Cricetulus griseus: one gene and its partners. The protein of the gene in region 1 interacts with the protein of each later gene in a pairwise test. Links are inferred from orthologs where the notes say so. Each region holds a gene or a part of one and is shown in the gene's direction. Other genes may lie near its edges.

Region 1 (5,420 bases):
CCAGCGGCCCATCCCACACCTCAGCTTCATGTCTGTCCCTTTCCTATACCACCCCACCCTGTTGTATGTATTATAGGATTTGTATTTTCTCCCCGCCCCCTTTTCCTCTTTGCATTCAAGATTATGAAACTTTGCTGTGGGCCCTGCCTTTCCTTCACTTCTTCCTATTCACCCTGGTGGTGTATGGGTGAGGTGGGGAGGTGAACCCCCGCCCCCAAATATATATTAGCCCAACAGCCCTAAGTCTCCTCCTTTATTATTAGGAATACCAAACAACACACAAACAAATGGCGTCATAAATATGAACAGCATTGTCATATGAATTAGTTGAAGTGGTTTTTTTTTTGTACTGTGTCCTCAAACTTAATGGATTAATGTGTCTTGTATATATATACATATATATATAAAAAAAAAAGGAGAAAAAAAACAAACCTCTACCTTCAGCCTCTGCCCATTCTTGCTCCGTCTAGGATATCCTCACTCTCGTCGATGACCAGCTTGGTGAATAAGTATTACCGTACCAACTGGGCCTCTTCTAGCAGGCTCGAAGGCTGTGGAATAAAGTGAAATCTTTGCCCTTTAAGAACTCTCACCTTAATGTGCTAATATTTTGCCCATAAGGGGGATTCTCTTTCATATCCTGTGACTGGAAAGAACCACTACAAAACTTTTCTTCTAGAAACTGCCTCAACTACATCAAGTTTCAGGAAGTGAAGGGGGAAGGAATATGGATGTTTAAAAGGAAAAGAACTGGGAATATAAGCATGATTTTAAGGGATTTTTGAAGTCTGAAGCCAACTTTATCTGTTGGCTGGCAGAACTAAAGCTCAAGCGGCTTTCCCTTTATAGAAGTAGACTGCAGTAGTTTTTGTTCCTTGAGTTTTGTTTTTGAGACAGTCTTATTGTGTGACCCTGGCTGGCCTGTAACTTGGTATGGAGACCAAGCTGATCTCAAATTCAGAGGTCTGCCTGCCTCTGCCTATTAGGTGATGAGGTTAAAGATTCTCAACAAACACCATACCCTGCTTTGCCTATTTTATGTGGCCTTAGAAATGCCCAATTTCTGGGAAAGGGTTGGATGATGTAGAGCAAGACCTGTGGTGGGGCATTGTGGTAAAAAGTTTTGAACCTCAATTACATGGGAAGGGGAGTTTTATTTTCTTTAGAAGAGCCTGAGACTTACCGTATTGCCAAGGATTCAAGAGATTCGTTCGGCTTCAGACTTCCCAAACTGCAAGTATGGCTTGGGAAGTGAGGGTGTGTCCAGGTCTCATGTAGCTCAGGCTGGCATTGAACTCGTTGTGTAGACCAGGTTGGCTTCATACTGAGATCCACCGGTCTCTGCCTCTTGAGCCTGCACCACTGATTCTAACTATAGAGTCTTTGTTCTTTTCCAAGATGCTTCAGTAGTTACTCTTCCCTGCCTAGTATAAATCTTACCTTGTTGGTTGTAGTCTGTTTTTTTAAAAGTTTAAAAGAGTAGCTAGGCATGGTAGCAACGGCCTATAATCCCAGCATTTGGGAGGCAGAGTCAGGTGGATCTCTTGAGTTCGAGGCAGGCCTAGTCTATAGAGTTCCAGGACAGCAGAGAAACCGTGTGTCGAATAAACACGTTTAAAATAAATTTTTATGGCCCGAACTAACTCCTTAGTAGCTGAAGAGATTCCTAGCATCCTCATGTCTTTATCCAGCAGTAGGGAAATTGCCCTGGAAGGAGCTTAGTAAAACATTTCCCAACCTGTAGTGTTGGACGTCACATCAGTCTAGAAACAAACAAAGTGGGGGTGTTTTCTGAGCCGGGGTCCAGGCGGGGCTCGGGACAGGCCGCTCCCTTTGGCGGCTAACTTGGAACCATCCAGAGAGTAACGGAAACACCCCTTGGGGACTGGCAGATGGGCGGGAAAGAGAATCACTAGAAGGGGTGTGATCTTGGACAGCGGGGATCCGTAAGCCCACCCTCACTCAAAACTGAAAGGTAGCGTATAAGAAGCTTCGCGTCGGAGGAGCGCCGTCAGCCCCGCCTCTTCCTTCTCCGGGTTTCGGCCTTTTTACGACAATGCCGTGTTGCAGACTTGCTTTCCGGCAGCGAATGCTGAACCCTGGCTGTATCTGACAGGGTAGCGCAAGCTGGCAGTCGAGTGGTTCTCATGTCCTGCCGAAGTTTAAAGTTTCTAGGGCACCTACAGGAATGAGCTTCTTTGACCTTTTCCGGGGCTTTTTCGGCTTTCGTGGACCTCGGAGGTGAGCGTAGTTCTGGGCTGGACCTGAGGAAGCGGTGTTCTTTGGGGACGCTTGACCCCTTCACCGTATTTTTGGAAAGCTTCCTTCCCCGCTCCCTTCAACTCCTGCTGAGAGGATAGAAATCTCAACCTTGAGTACTCACCACGCCACAGTAACCAAAGCGGTGTGAAGAGGAGAGAAACAGTGCCTTTCTCCAGAGTGGGGTGATGCAACAGGGAGCTGGGCGGAGAAGACAATGGGGGCCTGGGGAATGAGCAAGTGAGAGGGACCTTAAGGGGCAATTAGGAGTGCGCAGTCAGACACTGAAGACAAGCCACGGGAGGCGTTTGCGAGGTGTGGGGGGCGGGGGTTGTCATGGGCTCTAATTAGAGACAATACAAAACCCTAATAGATCCACGAGCTTTGTTTTGACTTGGAAGGGAGCTCTCCAGTGTTTTCTTCAGCTACCTAGACCCCAACCTTTTGTCCCCATTTTACTGGCCTTGGGTTGGTTTTATTGCTTAGACAGTGCTGAAATCTTCGTGGCTTATCTGCCTCTGCTCTCAGCCACAGAGATCCCTTCTTCGGAGGGATGACTCGAGATGATGACGATGATGATGACGAAGAGGAAGAAGACAGAGGCACGTGGGGTCGAGGGAGCTATAGGTTTGATGGTTCTCAGCCTCCGGAGGAATTCGGTTTCAACTTCAGCCCAGAAGAAGGCATGCGATTCCACGACAACTTTGGCTTTGATGATCTAGTACGAGATTTCAATAGCATCTTCAGTGAGATGGGGGCCTGGACCTTGCCTTCCCACTCTCCTGGTGTGTAGATTCTCCTGAGGGAGAATATTGGGTTAGGGAGCGAAATACGGACCTTGCAGAGTAGTTGGGGATATGCTAAAGCTGATTTCAAAAAGATTTTGTGTGTTTTAAGCCCTTTCCTATCCTAGTATCACCAGCCAACTTTTTTACAGAACTTCCAGGTCATGGGTCAGAAACACCTGGTGAGAGACCGCGGGAAGGGCAGACGCTTCGGGACTCAATGCTTAAGTACCCAGACAGTCACCAACCCAGGATCTTTGAGGGGGTCATGGAGAGTCATCCAAGACCTGAATCCCCCAAACCAGCTCCAGATTGGGGGTCTCAGGGACCTTTTCATAGGGTGAGTACTCTGCACCTGAAGTGCAGTAACTACAACTCTTACTGGAATTTCTTAGAGTTGAGTTAGAATTCTAGCCCCTCTAATTAGTGCATTTGTCTGGATTTTCTTCTTTGTTGGGCTTTTTGTTTTGAGACTTGGGATTCACTGTGTAGACCAGACTGGCCTCAGGTTTAGAGATCTGCCTGTCTCTGCATCAGGATTAAAATGTGCCAGCACACCTAGCCTAAGGTTTATTTATTTTTTCTTATGTAGGACTGTTTTTTTCAGTGCATGTGGAGCATGTTTTTGCTCCACATGTGCCTGGTACTCATAGAGGTCAGGAGAGGGCATCGAATACCCGGGAACTCCAATTATAATGATTGAGAACCACCATGCTGGGATCTATACACTATGGTTTTCTGCAATAGTGCCCCCTGCCCTCTCTTTTTATTTTATTTATATATGTATTTTGAGACAAGATCTCTCTGTGGCCTTAGCTGTCCTGGAACTTGCTATGTAGACCATGCTGGCCTCCCTTGGCCCTGAGTTTCTTTGTTTGGTTTTTTGTTGCTGTTTGTTGTTCTTAAGATTTATTTATTTTAGCCGGGCGTTGGTGGTGCATGTCTTTATTCCCAGCACTCGGGAGGCAGAGGTAGGCAGATCTCTGTGAGTTCGAGGCCAGCCTGGTCTATAGAGCAAGTTCCAGGATAGGCTCCAAAGCTACACAGAGAAACCCTGTCTCAAAAAACAAAACAAAACAAAAAATTATTTATTTTGCGTATGTGTGTCTGAGTTTTTTGTGTACCATATGAGTGCCTGCAGTGTTGAGGTATTGTTGAATCCTGTGGAGCTCTGAGCTGCTTGATATCCCCAGAAAAAGCAAGTGTTCTTAATCTATGGGCCGTCTTTCTAGCCCCTTTGTTTCTGTTTTCCATTTGCAATACAGGAGCATAGAATACAAAAGGGAAATGTAAATATTCTGCTTTTTTTAATTGCTAGTTACAATTCTTGATTAAGAAAGGGTCTTGAGAGCTGGGCTGTGGTGGCACACGCCTTTAATCCCAGCACTTGGGAGGCCGAGGCAGGCGAATCTCTGTGAGCCCAGGCCAGCCTGGTCTACAAAGCTACACAGAGAAACCTTGTCTCAAGGTAGGGGTAGTCTTGAGGCTGGGCATGGTGTTGCCCACTTTTAATCCCAGCACTCCTGAGGCAGAAGCAAACTTATTTCCTTGAGTTCAAGGCCAACCTGTCTAGACAAAAAAACCCTGCCTGGAACGAACACACACACACACACACACACACACACACACACCAAGGTGGGGGGGGGGCATCTTGAGCAGGGCAAGGTGGTGCACACCTTTGATCCTAGCACTAGGGAAGTAGAGGCAGGCAAGTTTCTGTCAGTTTGAGGCCAGCCTAGTCTATAGAATGAGTTCTAGGATAAGAAACCCTGTCTTGAAAAAAAAAAACAGTCTTGAAGATGCAGGAAAGTATTTTAGGAAGCCTATTTGGTAAAAGTTCATATTCGACTACAGAAGCTGTGTGAACATAAGCTGCCCGAATGGAAGTGTTTCTGGGGTTTTGGAACTTAGGAGGAGTCTGGGGTCTCTGACCCTTCAGATTTCAGATCAGAAGGTGTCTTTTCACCAACTATGTGTGGCTTCTTCTACAGTTGGATGATATATGGCCTGTGACTCCCCATTCTAGAGCCAGAGAGGACAATGGTGAGTCTAGAGGGAGGGCACATTTACCATGTCATTCTCCTAAAGTTCTCTCAGAAGTTTCTTCCTCACATACTTGTCCTGTTTTCTTCCTTCCACTGTCTTCTGGCTTTTATCTCTCTGCCATTCCAGATCTTGACTCCCAGGTTTCCCAGGAAGGTCTCGGTCCACTTCTTCAACCCCAACCCAAATCCTATTTCAAGAGCATCTCTGTGACCAAGATCACTAAGCCAGATGGGGTGAGTTGAGAGAGAAGAGTTAAACTGGCCTGAGAATGCTCTGGAATGAGGGAGGGGCTTGTGTAAGAAAACACTAAACTCAACATAGTAGCCTTAA
Region 2 (5,375 bases), on another chromosome or scaffold:
TGCTGAGAGACACCCACACTTCGGCTCCAATCTGCTTTGGCACTTATTCTGCCTTCATTTAGGATATCACTCATCTTTGACTCCTGTTTATAAATACAACACGAGCAGGGGCAGCAGAACTGGAATTGGAGGATCTCCATATGCAATAGAACCAATGAACATTTAAACAGCTCCATTATCTATGGTTAAGCAAGACCACAGGGGATACTTCATCTAACCCATAAACTACTGTACTCCTAGTCCCATGCTTCTTTTTGTCGAATGTTTCAGTGGCTTACCTTTCTCCCTCTGCCATTGTTTTTCTTTCCTCTTCTACCACCCACTACCTTTAGTTAAAATGTGAGTGGCTTTAATGCCAACTAGGAAAGTTGAAACCTGATTTACTTAAAGTCAGGTGCTCTACCACCTGAACTGGACCAGCCTTAGGTACTGAAAATGTCTCTAATAAAAATGAGCAGGCAGCGCTGATTCCATGTCCATATATAAGAATCCATACCTTCCTTTCCCACAGCCTCCATTGCTGAGCTGAGCCACTGTCCTGACTGGGCCTTTGTACCTGTCTGCAGAAGCGGGTAGCTATCCTTGCCCACCTTTGATCCATCCTTGTCTTTATGTAATGGAGCAGGGTCACTTTACCATGACGTGACTGAGGCTGGGAGTTCTCCCTTGAAGCTGTCATCTCTGTGGGAAATGTGTTGACATTATTCAAAGGAGTGAGAGGGCCCAGATCTTTATGGTCAATGTCACTTTTATCACCTCTGCCCTCTAACCATAAGGCTGCCATTCCATACTCAGACTGCTGACTTACTCAAGCAAACCTTTCTCTTCAGAGGGGAGGGGTAAACCTCATTTTCCCTCAAATGCCATGACTTAGCTGCCAATTATCCTGCCCAGATTCAGTCCTGGAGCACAATAAACAAATTAGGCCAAACACAAAGTATACCCCCGGAGCGCCCATCCTACTCAGTCCAGCCCTCTGATTTGAGCATTTCTGCCTTCCTCTTCCACCAAATGCTCTGGGTGTCTTGGTAAACTTCCTGCTGCTCTTCCCCTTTTTTGTAAGACTACATGTTTATAATCATATGAAACAAGCAATAAATAGATGAATCAAGTCAACAGCCCAAGGAATCTTTGCAAACAACATCATTACCAAGTGTATGAGCTGCATTTCGGCCAGTATCAAGCTGCGTGAACATAGAAAGATACAAAGCAGAATTATTTCCTGTAAATTCCCAGTGACACACTGGCGGGGGCCCCACCTACTTGAGATGATTATAAAAGACAGAGAAGCCTGACTCAGGCATAAGTCTCCAGGGCAGAGAGGGAGTCACCTCATTGGAGCTTGAGTCGGCAAAGGTATTGTCCTTATCACATCTGAGGCTATGGAGATTGTCTTTTGTTTGCTCCTTGACTGTCTTCTCTCAAGGCACCTTCTGTAAGGCTATAGTCTGTTCTCTTTCTTTCTCTTGTTGTTCCTGATTTGGTGTGTAAGCTGGAATCACAGATTTCAGAGAAGAGCTCTCTTTCTAGTGATAAGGACCTGAGGGGGCAGCTGAACAGGATTCCTGGGAGGGAATCCATCAGTTCAGCCTAATCTTTTCCTGTAGATAGGAAATTTCTACTGACAAAAATGAGATATGCTGGTTCCCGTTCTCTATCTCCCTCGCCTCTATAGAAGGCAGATACCTCATGCAGGTGGTTTTCCTTTTTTTTTTTTTCCTTATCCTATTCACCTTTATTGAATGCCTACTATGTGTGATGGAATGGGCTGGACACAAAGAATACCAAGATAGAGAAAACATTCTAAAACAAATGTACAAGTTAAGAGAGGAGAACAAAGCTTATACAAATAATGTAAGGGCGTATGAAGAAGAATAGAGGAAATTCTGGGCATGTGATAAGTCAGCCACTCATTGTAGTTTCTCAAGAAGAGCGAAGCAGGGTCACTGCCCTTGCAAGCACGGGGTTCAGAGGTGGAGAGCTGACCACCACTGTTCTTTTGTAGAGGTCAAGATGGCCAAAGTTCCGGACTTGTTTGAAGACCTGAAGAACTGTTACAGGTAAGAAACACATTCTACTTTTTGTGATTCAATGACTCCAACTAGGTGTTCAAGTGGCCAGTCAAGTGCCATGTTGTCAGAGGCTCTGTAGATATACACTGGCTCTGAAGTCCAGTCAAGACCAGAGAAGAGCTAGAAGGATAAGACCTCCAACATGCTAAAGTGGTATTTCCCTGAGTGAAATGGGAATTTAGAAAAATATTTTTGAGGTGTACTGACTCCTACATAATCTTAAATTAACATCAACTTAGGCACTTGATAGAGTTTGTATGCTCTATACAGCAGCAGCTATTAATGAACTGTTTGAGAGAAAATTCATTCTTGGGAGAACCTGCTCCCAGTCAAGAGGAGGAAACAGCTCTTGGGCACATGAACTCATACCCACAGTGAAACTTCACCCTGATACAGAAGATAAATGAGCAGAGCTGAAATTCTAGAACATTCTTAACTAACAAGATGTTTTTGTTTGCAATTAATGTTAATGCTAATGAAGCTACAAACTAGTGCTTGAATACTGTTAAATATAGAATCTGTTTTAGTATGTGAAAACAATGTATGACAAAGTGTATCTGAAGTACTTCAAAAGTTTCTCTTTTCTTTTAGCAGCTTCAGCCTTTCCTGAAGTCCAATAAGGCTCTTTGATTTATTAATCATGCCTAATTTTTACAGATAAAGTGCAAAGCTGTTCTAATAATTACTAACTCCAAATTAGTAGACAAATGAGTTACTATGTGTGTAGACATGAATATGCAGAAGTCTTTAGCTTTTCAAAGAGTAGTGTGTGTGTGTGTGTGTGTGTGTGTGTGTGTGTGTGTGTGTGTGTGTGTGTTCGTGTGCCCAAGTTACTGTAAGGCTGACTCTCATCCTGACTGGGATCGAGTTCTCCAAAGAAAGAAGTAACTCTTAAACAGCCACTAAAACCCAGTGCTGTGTTAGAGCATTCAGACTCAATAGTACCTATGTCTAAATCAGTATTCAGGAATGTTGTCTGTATTACCAAAAGCTAATGTGGTCATTAAGATATGATGCCTACGGACCTCAGTGGAATGATGAACAAAAATACAGTCTCCTTATATGTTTTTGACAGTGAAAATGAAGAATACAGTTCTGCCCTTGATCATCTCTCTCTGAGTCAGGTAAGCATATGGTTATCATTCTTATAGATTTGGATTTTCTTTTTACATACTACCAGAAATGCAAAATGAAGGTTGAGTATTATACACTTTTGTTAAAGGTCTAAAATACATTTATTTATTATTAGTGAGATCACTTGCCTCTCTATACTAATAGTTAACTGGCATTCTTCATGCTCATTGACTCTTCCATAACAGAGAAGAAGGGTTATCTGAAGCCCTAAGAACTTCTGGGCCAGGCTCCTTCAAATTGTTAGTTTTGGCATCTTTAGCCAGTTGCTTCAATCCACCTCACCTGGACACCTCTCCTAACATGCTATGTTGACATCATTCTCTGATAGCCCACAGAACTGAGGGAGAGGAAGCTGGCTAAGAGAAAGGGAAAACGTCACACACACTCAGCATGTTATTTTGTGTATCTGTGATACCTGTTTTAAAAGCTGCTTCCAGAAAAATAGACACACCAACGGTATCCATGGGTCCTTGACTGCAAGGCCCCCTAGGGAGATCACCTCCTGCAGATGTTCAAGTCCTTTATATTAAGTGACCTTCTATTTATATAAAATATACATGTATTCTGAAATAACTTTAAATCATATCTAGATGTCTTAAAACTACACCTGCCACACTGTGAATGCTATAGAAACAATTGTTATACTTATGAATCAGTGATTATATTATTTAGGAAGTAATTACAAAAAGATTCACATTTTAGTACAAATGTGATTTAGGTTTAAAAAATATTTTGAACCTTAAGGTTAGTTTAATTTGAGCAGGCAACACAGAGGGCCAAAAGTATTTTTTAAAATATTTTGAGTACTCTGGAATAGATGTCAAACCTTTTGACAGAAGGATCTCACTCACCAGGATCACATGTTAATCTGTTTAATTAAAATTTTTTCTTTTTGAGCCTAAAGGTGGGTGAAAAGACCCCCCCTCAACCCCAGCCTTGGTTTCAGGGAAATCCAAGAATGGAATGGAGCAGAAGGGAAGGAAGGGCAGTGGAGGATGAGAGGGGAGGGAGGGATGAAGCACAGGTTGGTTCCCTACACCCAGAAGGGAGATCCGTCTCACTAAGTCTGTAGGATACAGACCCTACTAAAGAGTCTCATCATGAGGTCATAGGTAAGCGCTCAGGTGCCACTTCCCTTCCTTACAGAAATCCTTCTACGATGCAAGCTGTGGCTCACTTCATGAGAATTGCACAGATAAATTTGTATCTCTGAGAACCTCTGAAACCTCAAAGGTGTCCAACTTCACCTTTGAGGAGAGCCTAGTGATGGTGGCAGCATCATCAGACTCAGGGAAGATTCTGAAGAAGAGACGGCTGGGCTTCAATCAGGCCTTTGCTGAAGATGACCTGGAGACCATAACCCGCAATTTAGAAGGTAAGGGATGAAACATAACAAAAATCCAATTTTTTAGTTTTAAGAAAATGATGATAATGAAGTAGAAAGAAAATAAATCTTGGAACCAAAATAATAGGACATTAGGTCAATAACTATAACAAAGAAAGATTAAATGCTGCTCTTCTCCAGAAGGGAGAGATCAATGGTAACCTGAGTCTAGAACAGTTGTTGAAGGGTTCCTTTCTTGGCTGTATTATAAAGGTCATCCAAAGGTCTTTGGTTGGAGAGAAAGCAGTCACAGTCCATTAGCCCATGACCTCTACTAGGTTCCATCTCCTTAGTCATGATCCTCCGTCTCTCTGGGCTTCAGTTCCCCATACTGTGAATAGAGATGACCAAGTCTTACACCTCACTGGGTTCCTGTAAAGATTAAAGAAGCCAATACCTCAAAACATTTAGACTAGAAGAATGTCTAATGTGAAGTCATCACCCAAGAAATGTCAGCCATTGTGATTACTCCCATTGCCTTTGTAAATGATGCAACACTACTCATTTATTGATGGCTGCACTCTCTGTAGGCTACAAAACAACCTCCTCCTCCTCTCGGTTTACATATGAGGAAATGAGGCTCATATGTGAGAAACCATGCAGCTAATTCGGTCCACTATGACTATGAGAACCCTGAGTTTGTCTTTCATGTCTTTTCTATACATTCCTGCACAGGAAACATAAACCAAGTACTCATTTTAATGTAAAACCTGGAAAACAATACCTCTCCGCCTCGAAAGTTTTAAAATAAAACAAAGTAGAAAAAAGAATATTAACATTCACTC
Region 3 (3,727 bases), on another chromosome or scaffold:
TATGACAGCATTTCTGGGAAACACTTGAGCTGTGACTGCTTCTTGGTGCAACTCTAGTTCCTGTTCACAAGGAGTTAGATTGCCCAGAAAAGAGAATATCCAGGTTTCTGCAAAGAAAGTAGTCCTGTGTTAGTGAGCTTCCAGTCCTCAAGGAACAGAATAGAAGTCCAGTGAAATGCTTTCCTATGGCTTTGCTGGTGTCCCTGACACACACACCCAAAACAGCTGGAACCGTGTGCTGCACTGGGCAGCTTGCAATAACTGCTCAGTATCTTTTATTTTTTTTGAAGCTATATATATTTGTATATTAGATGGGTGAGCCTTTTGGATATACCCATTAGGTAGAACATAAATGATTATTAAATCCACTAGAATTTGTAATTAAAACTTCCTTTTATGTCTGCCCTGCAGTGATTTGAGGTATGACGTCAACATAACATAGGTATATGACTTGCTGTGTTCACATTCCTCTAATAATGGACATTTACCCTGAAAACTGTAATTCTAAAGCTTCTTGGTCCAAAGAACCCTGCCTTTCTGAAAACTGTTATGTCACTAAGCATTTTTTTGCCAGAGATAATTATAATTAGGTGTTTTTTTTAAAGCTCTCAGACTTTTCATCTGCAAATAAGAAAACTGAATTAGATTGGTGCCTTTTGTTCTCGTCCCTTTCAAAGTTTAAGTTACTACCTTAGTAGTTGGTTTAGTAGTTCCAACTCATCCTGAGCCACTTAAGCCCTAAAGGAAGACTAGAGGCCTTCCAAGATACACATAAGAACGTGTCACACATTGTGGAGTTTTTCTCCCATTTAGTCTCTCATTTTGAGAGTTCTTCTTGAATTTTGTTAGATTTTTAATTCTGTGTATGTAATTGTGCACACATATGTACAGTGCTTGAGTCCAAAAGAAAGAATTGGATTTCCTGCAGCTGGAGGTATAGGGGGTTGTGAGCCACCTGCTGTGCTGGGAACTGAACTCAGGTCCCTTGCAAGAGCTGTGCATGCTCTTACCTCTGAGCCAGCTCTCCAAAGCTATTTTCCTGGGTTTTAATTGTAGTTACTCCTCAAGAATACTTGGCCTACAAATAGTGATTCATCCTCTTTTTCTGGTTCATTGTTTACAGTAGTAAACAGTGTCCCTCATGTATATCTGTCAGCATTGAGGACACCAGTGACTTTGCCCAGTTTTCTGCATTATTACTGGAAAGCACAGTGTAGTCTGAAGTATTGAAAGTCCCCAACACTAACTTTGTATGAACTTATAAGGGCATGGGATGTGCTTTTTGAAAATTACAGAACCAGGGGCTGGAGAAATGGCTTAGTGGTTAAGAGCACTGGCTGCTCTTCCAGAGGTCCTGAGTTCAATTCCCAGCCACTACACCGTGGCTCACAACCATCTATAATGAGATCTGGTGCCCTCTTCTGGCGTGCAGGAATATATGAAGGCAGAATATTGTATACATAATAAATAAATCTTTTTAAAAAAAAAAAAAGAAAATTACAGAACCACTATAGTCTGGAGTTGGTATTAATGATTGCCCAGGATTAATATTAAAACTGAGTCTTAAACTAAATGGGCACTCTTTAATCTGAAGTAATATCTAACAGTTCCCCCCCCCTTCCTTAAAAAATAGTGTGTTTGGGGCTGGAGGGATAGCTTGATTGTTAAGATCATTGGCTGCTCTTGCAGAGGACCCAGGTTCAGTTCCCAGCATCCATATGGCAGCTCACTACTGTCTGAAATTCCAGTTCCAGGGGATCCAGTGCCCTTTGCTGGCTTTCATGGGCACCAAGCATGCATGTGGTTCACAGACACATTATGTGGGCAAAAATACCCATACACATAAAAATAATCTTTAAAAAATTCTCTCAAGTTTTAAAAAATATACTTAGGGTTAGAGAGAGAACAGTTAAGAGTGATTGCTGCTTTTGTAGAGTACCCTGGTTCAGTTCTCGGGAACCATATGGTGACTTAAAACTGTAACTCCAGTTCCAGGGGATCTGACATAATCTCTGGCTTTCTTGAGTATCAGGCATGTACACAGGACACTTACATGCATGCAGGCAAATCTTTCATACACATAAAAAGATGTAAATGAATTTTAAAAAGAGAGGGAAGAGGAAAGGTAGTATATTTAGAACCATGTGTATTAGCATGCTCCTATATTCCTGACTACTGAGGAGAGTGAGGCAAGAGGATATCCTGAGCCCAAGAGTTCAAGGTCAGCTTAGATCCCCAGCTCAAAAAAACAAAAAAAGGCTATCTAAATAGCAAGTTTTACTAACTTAAATATTTTAAAATAAAACTTGTGGGCTGTTTACTTATAATACAATGTCTATAAAAATATCAGTTTATTGTTGTGGATGCACATTTATGTATTATGAACATATGTTTTATGATAGATATGACCACATTTTGAAGTGGGAGCTCTTCCAGCTGGCTGACCTGGACACCTACCAGGGAATGCTGAAGTTGCTCTTCATGAAGGAACTGGAGCAGATTGTTAAGATGTACGAGGCCTACAGACAGGCTCTTCTCACTGAGTTGGAAAATCGCAAGCAGAGACAGCAGTGGTATGCCCAGCAGCATGGGAAGAAGTTTTTAAGTTAACTTTATCACAATCCAAGTTTTATAAGAGCTTTAAAATAGTTTCAGATAAATGACTGCAAACAAGTACTTTGGTTAATAAAGGCAACTTACTATTTGGAATTATAAAATTCTAGTTTTACATATATTTTGTTACCAAATTTTTCTCTTATTGAACCAAAAATGTTATCTTTTAAAGCGCCAATATGGCATATGCTTCCAAATGCTGTATATTAAGAAACTGCTTTGAATATTGTTGATGAAAAGGGGTACAGGAAGAGAGCATCATCATACCCAGGCATTGCACAGTCAGTCATTCTCCTTCTTATGGAATACACCCTTCTTATGGAATACACCCTTCTTGTTTAGAAAAAGGAACAGGGCGAGAACACAGCTTTGAAAAGTTGCTTATTGTGGTGTACTTTCTGTGTAGCATGGATAATAAAAACCCAGAGACAGATATTGGGGTGAAAACTGAAGATCAGAAAAGCAAAGCAGCCAGCCAGTAGAGAGTTCTTACCTGTACCAATGCTCAGACGGAAAGTGTGATTCGGTCTTCAGAGTGCACTGCATCCTCAGACTGACTCAGACTGTACTGAGCTCCTGTCTCCTCCTGCCTTTTATTCCTCTATAGTGTTGGGATTAAAGGCATGTCACTCCAAGTGCTGGGATCACTTTTGTGTGAGCTGTTTCTCTTTTGGCTGGATCAATTTTGTGTATCTCAGGGTGGCCTTGAACTAAGAGATTCATCTGTCTCTGTCTCCCACGTGCTGAGATTAAAGATGTGTGCCACCTCTGCCTGGCTTTTATGGCTAACTAGTGTGGCTAGTTTTGTACTCTGACCTTCAGGCAAGCTTTATTTGTTAGATCATAAACAAAGTATCACCACATTTCTGGAATAAGGTGGATTGACCATTACTATGGGTGTAGTTCAAAGTACAAAATAGGACTCGGAGCCTTTATTGTGATGAACTTGTATGTGATGTATGGGGTCATCCACTCCTCCTGCTCCCTAATGTAAGCAGGGCGATAGAGCCTTTCAGCAATACCTTTAAATAAGGCCTTAGCCTATGTGGGGAAGGCATGTGCAACTGTTGCTGATACTGCTTCCTTGCTTTGAACCAGAGCACACAACTCCAGT

The links.
Region 2: the proteins of Hax1 (region 1) and Il1a interact in binary tests that used the Homo sapiens proteins (3 or more experiments, as listed by UniProt). The link is inferred for Cricetulus griseus from reciprocal best matches to the Homo sapiens genes HAX1 and IL1A.
Region 3: the proteins of Hax1 (region 1) and Sav1 interact in binary tests that used the Homo sapiens proteins (3 or more experiments, as listed by UniProt). The link is inferred for Cricetulus griseus from reciprocal best matches to the Homo sapiens genes HAX1 and SAV1.

The regions. Positions count from the first base shown.
Region 1 is NW_023276806.1:64,554,259-64,559,678, forward strand, and holds the start of Hax1 (HCLS1-associated protein X-1), read left to right. Parts: upstream 1-2,048; 5' UTR 2,049-2,188; coding exon 2,189-2,241; intron 2,242-2,787; coding exon 2,788-3,044; intron 3,045-3,196; coding exon 3,197-3,384; intron 3,385-5,035; coding exon 5,036-5,087; intron 5,088-5,216; coding exon 5,217-5,323; intron 5,324-5,420. UniProt on the Homo sapiens protein: Recruits the Arp2/3 complex to the cell cortex and regulates reorganization of the cortical actin cytoskeleton via its interaction with KCNC3 and the Arp2/3 complex. Slows down the rate of inactivation of KCNC3 channels. Promotes GNA13-mediated cell migration.
Region 2 is NC_048599.1:49,260,638-49,266,012, forward strand, and holds the start of Il1a (interleukin-1 alpha), read left to right. Parts: upstream 1-2,013; coding exon 2,014-2,060; intron 2,061-3,147; coding exon 3,148-3,196; intron 3,197-4,352; coding exon 4,353-4,581; intron 4,582-5,375. UniProt on the Homo sapiens protein: Cytokine constitutively present intracellularly in nearly all resting non-hematopoietic cells that plays an important role in inflammation and bridges the innate and adaptive immune systems.
Region 3 is NC_048598.1:133,417,508-133,421,234, forward strand, and holds the end of Sav1 (protein salvador homolog 1), read left to right. Parts: intron 1-2,402; coding exon 2,403-2,610; 3' UTR 2,611-2,717; downstream 2,718-3,727. UniProt on the Homo sapiens protein: Regulator of STK3/MST2 and STK4/MST1 in the Hippo signaling pathway which plays a pivotal role in organ size control and tumor suppression by restricting proliferation and promoting apoptosis.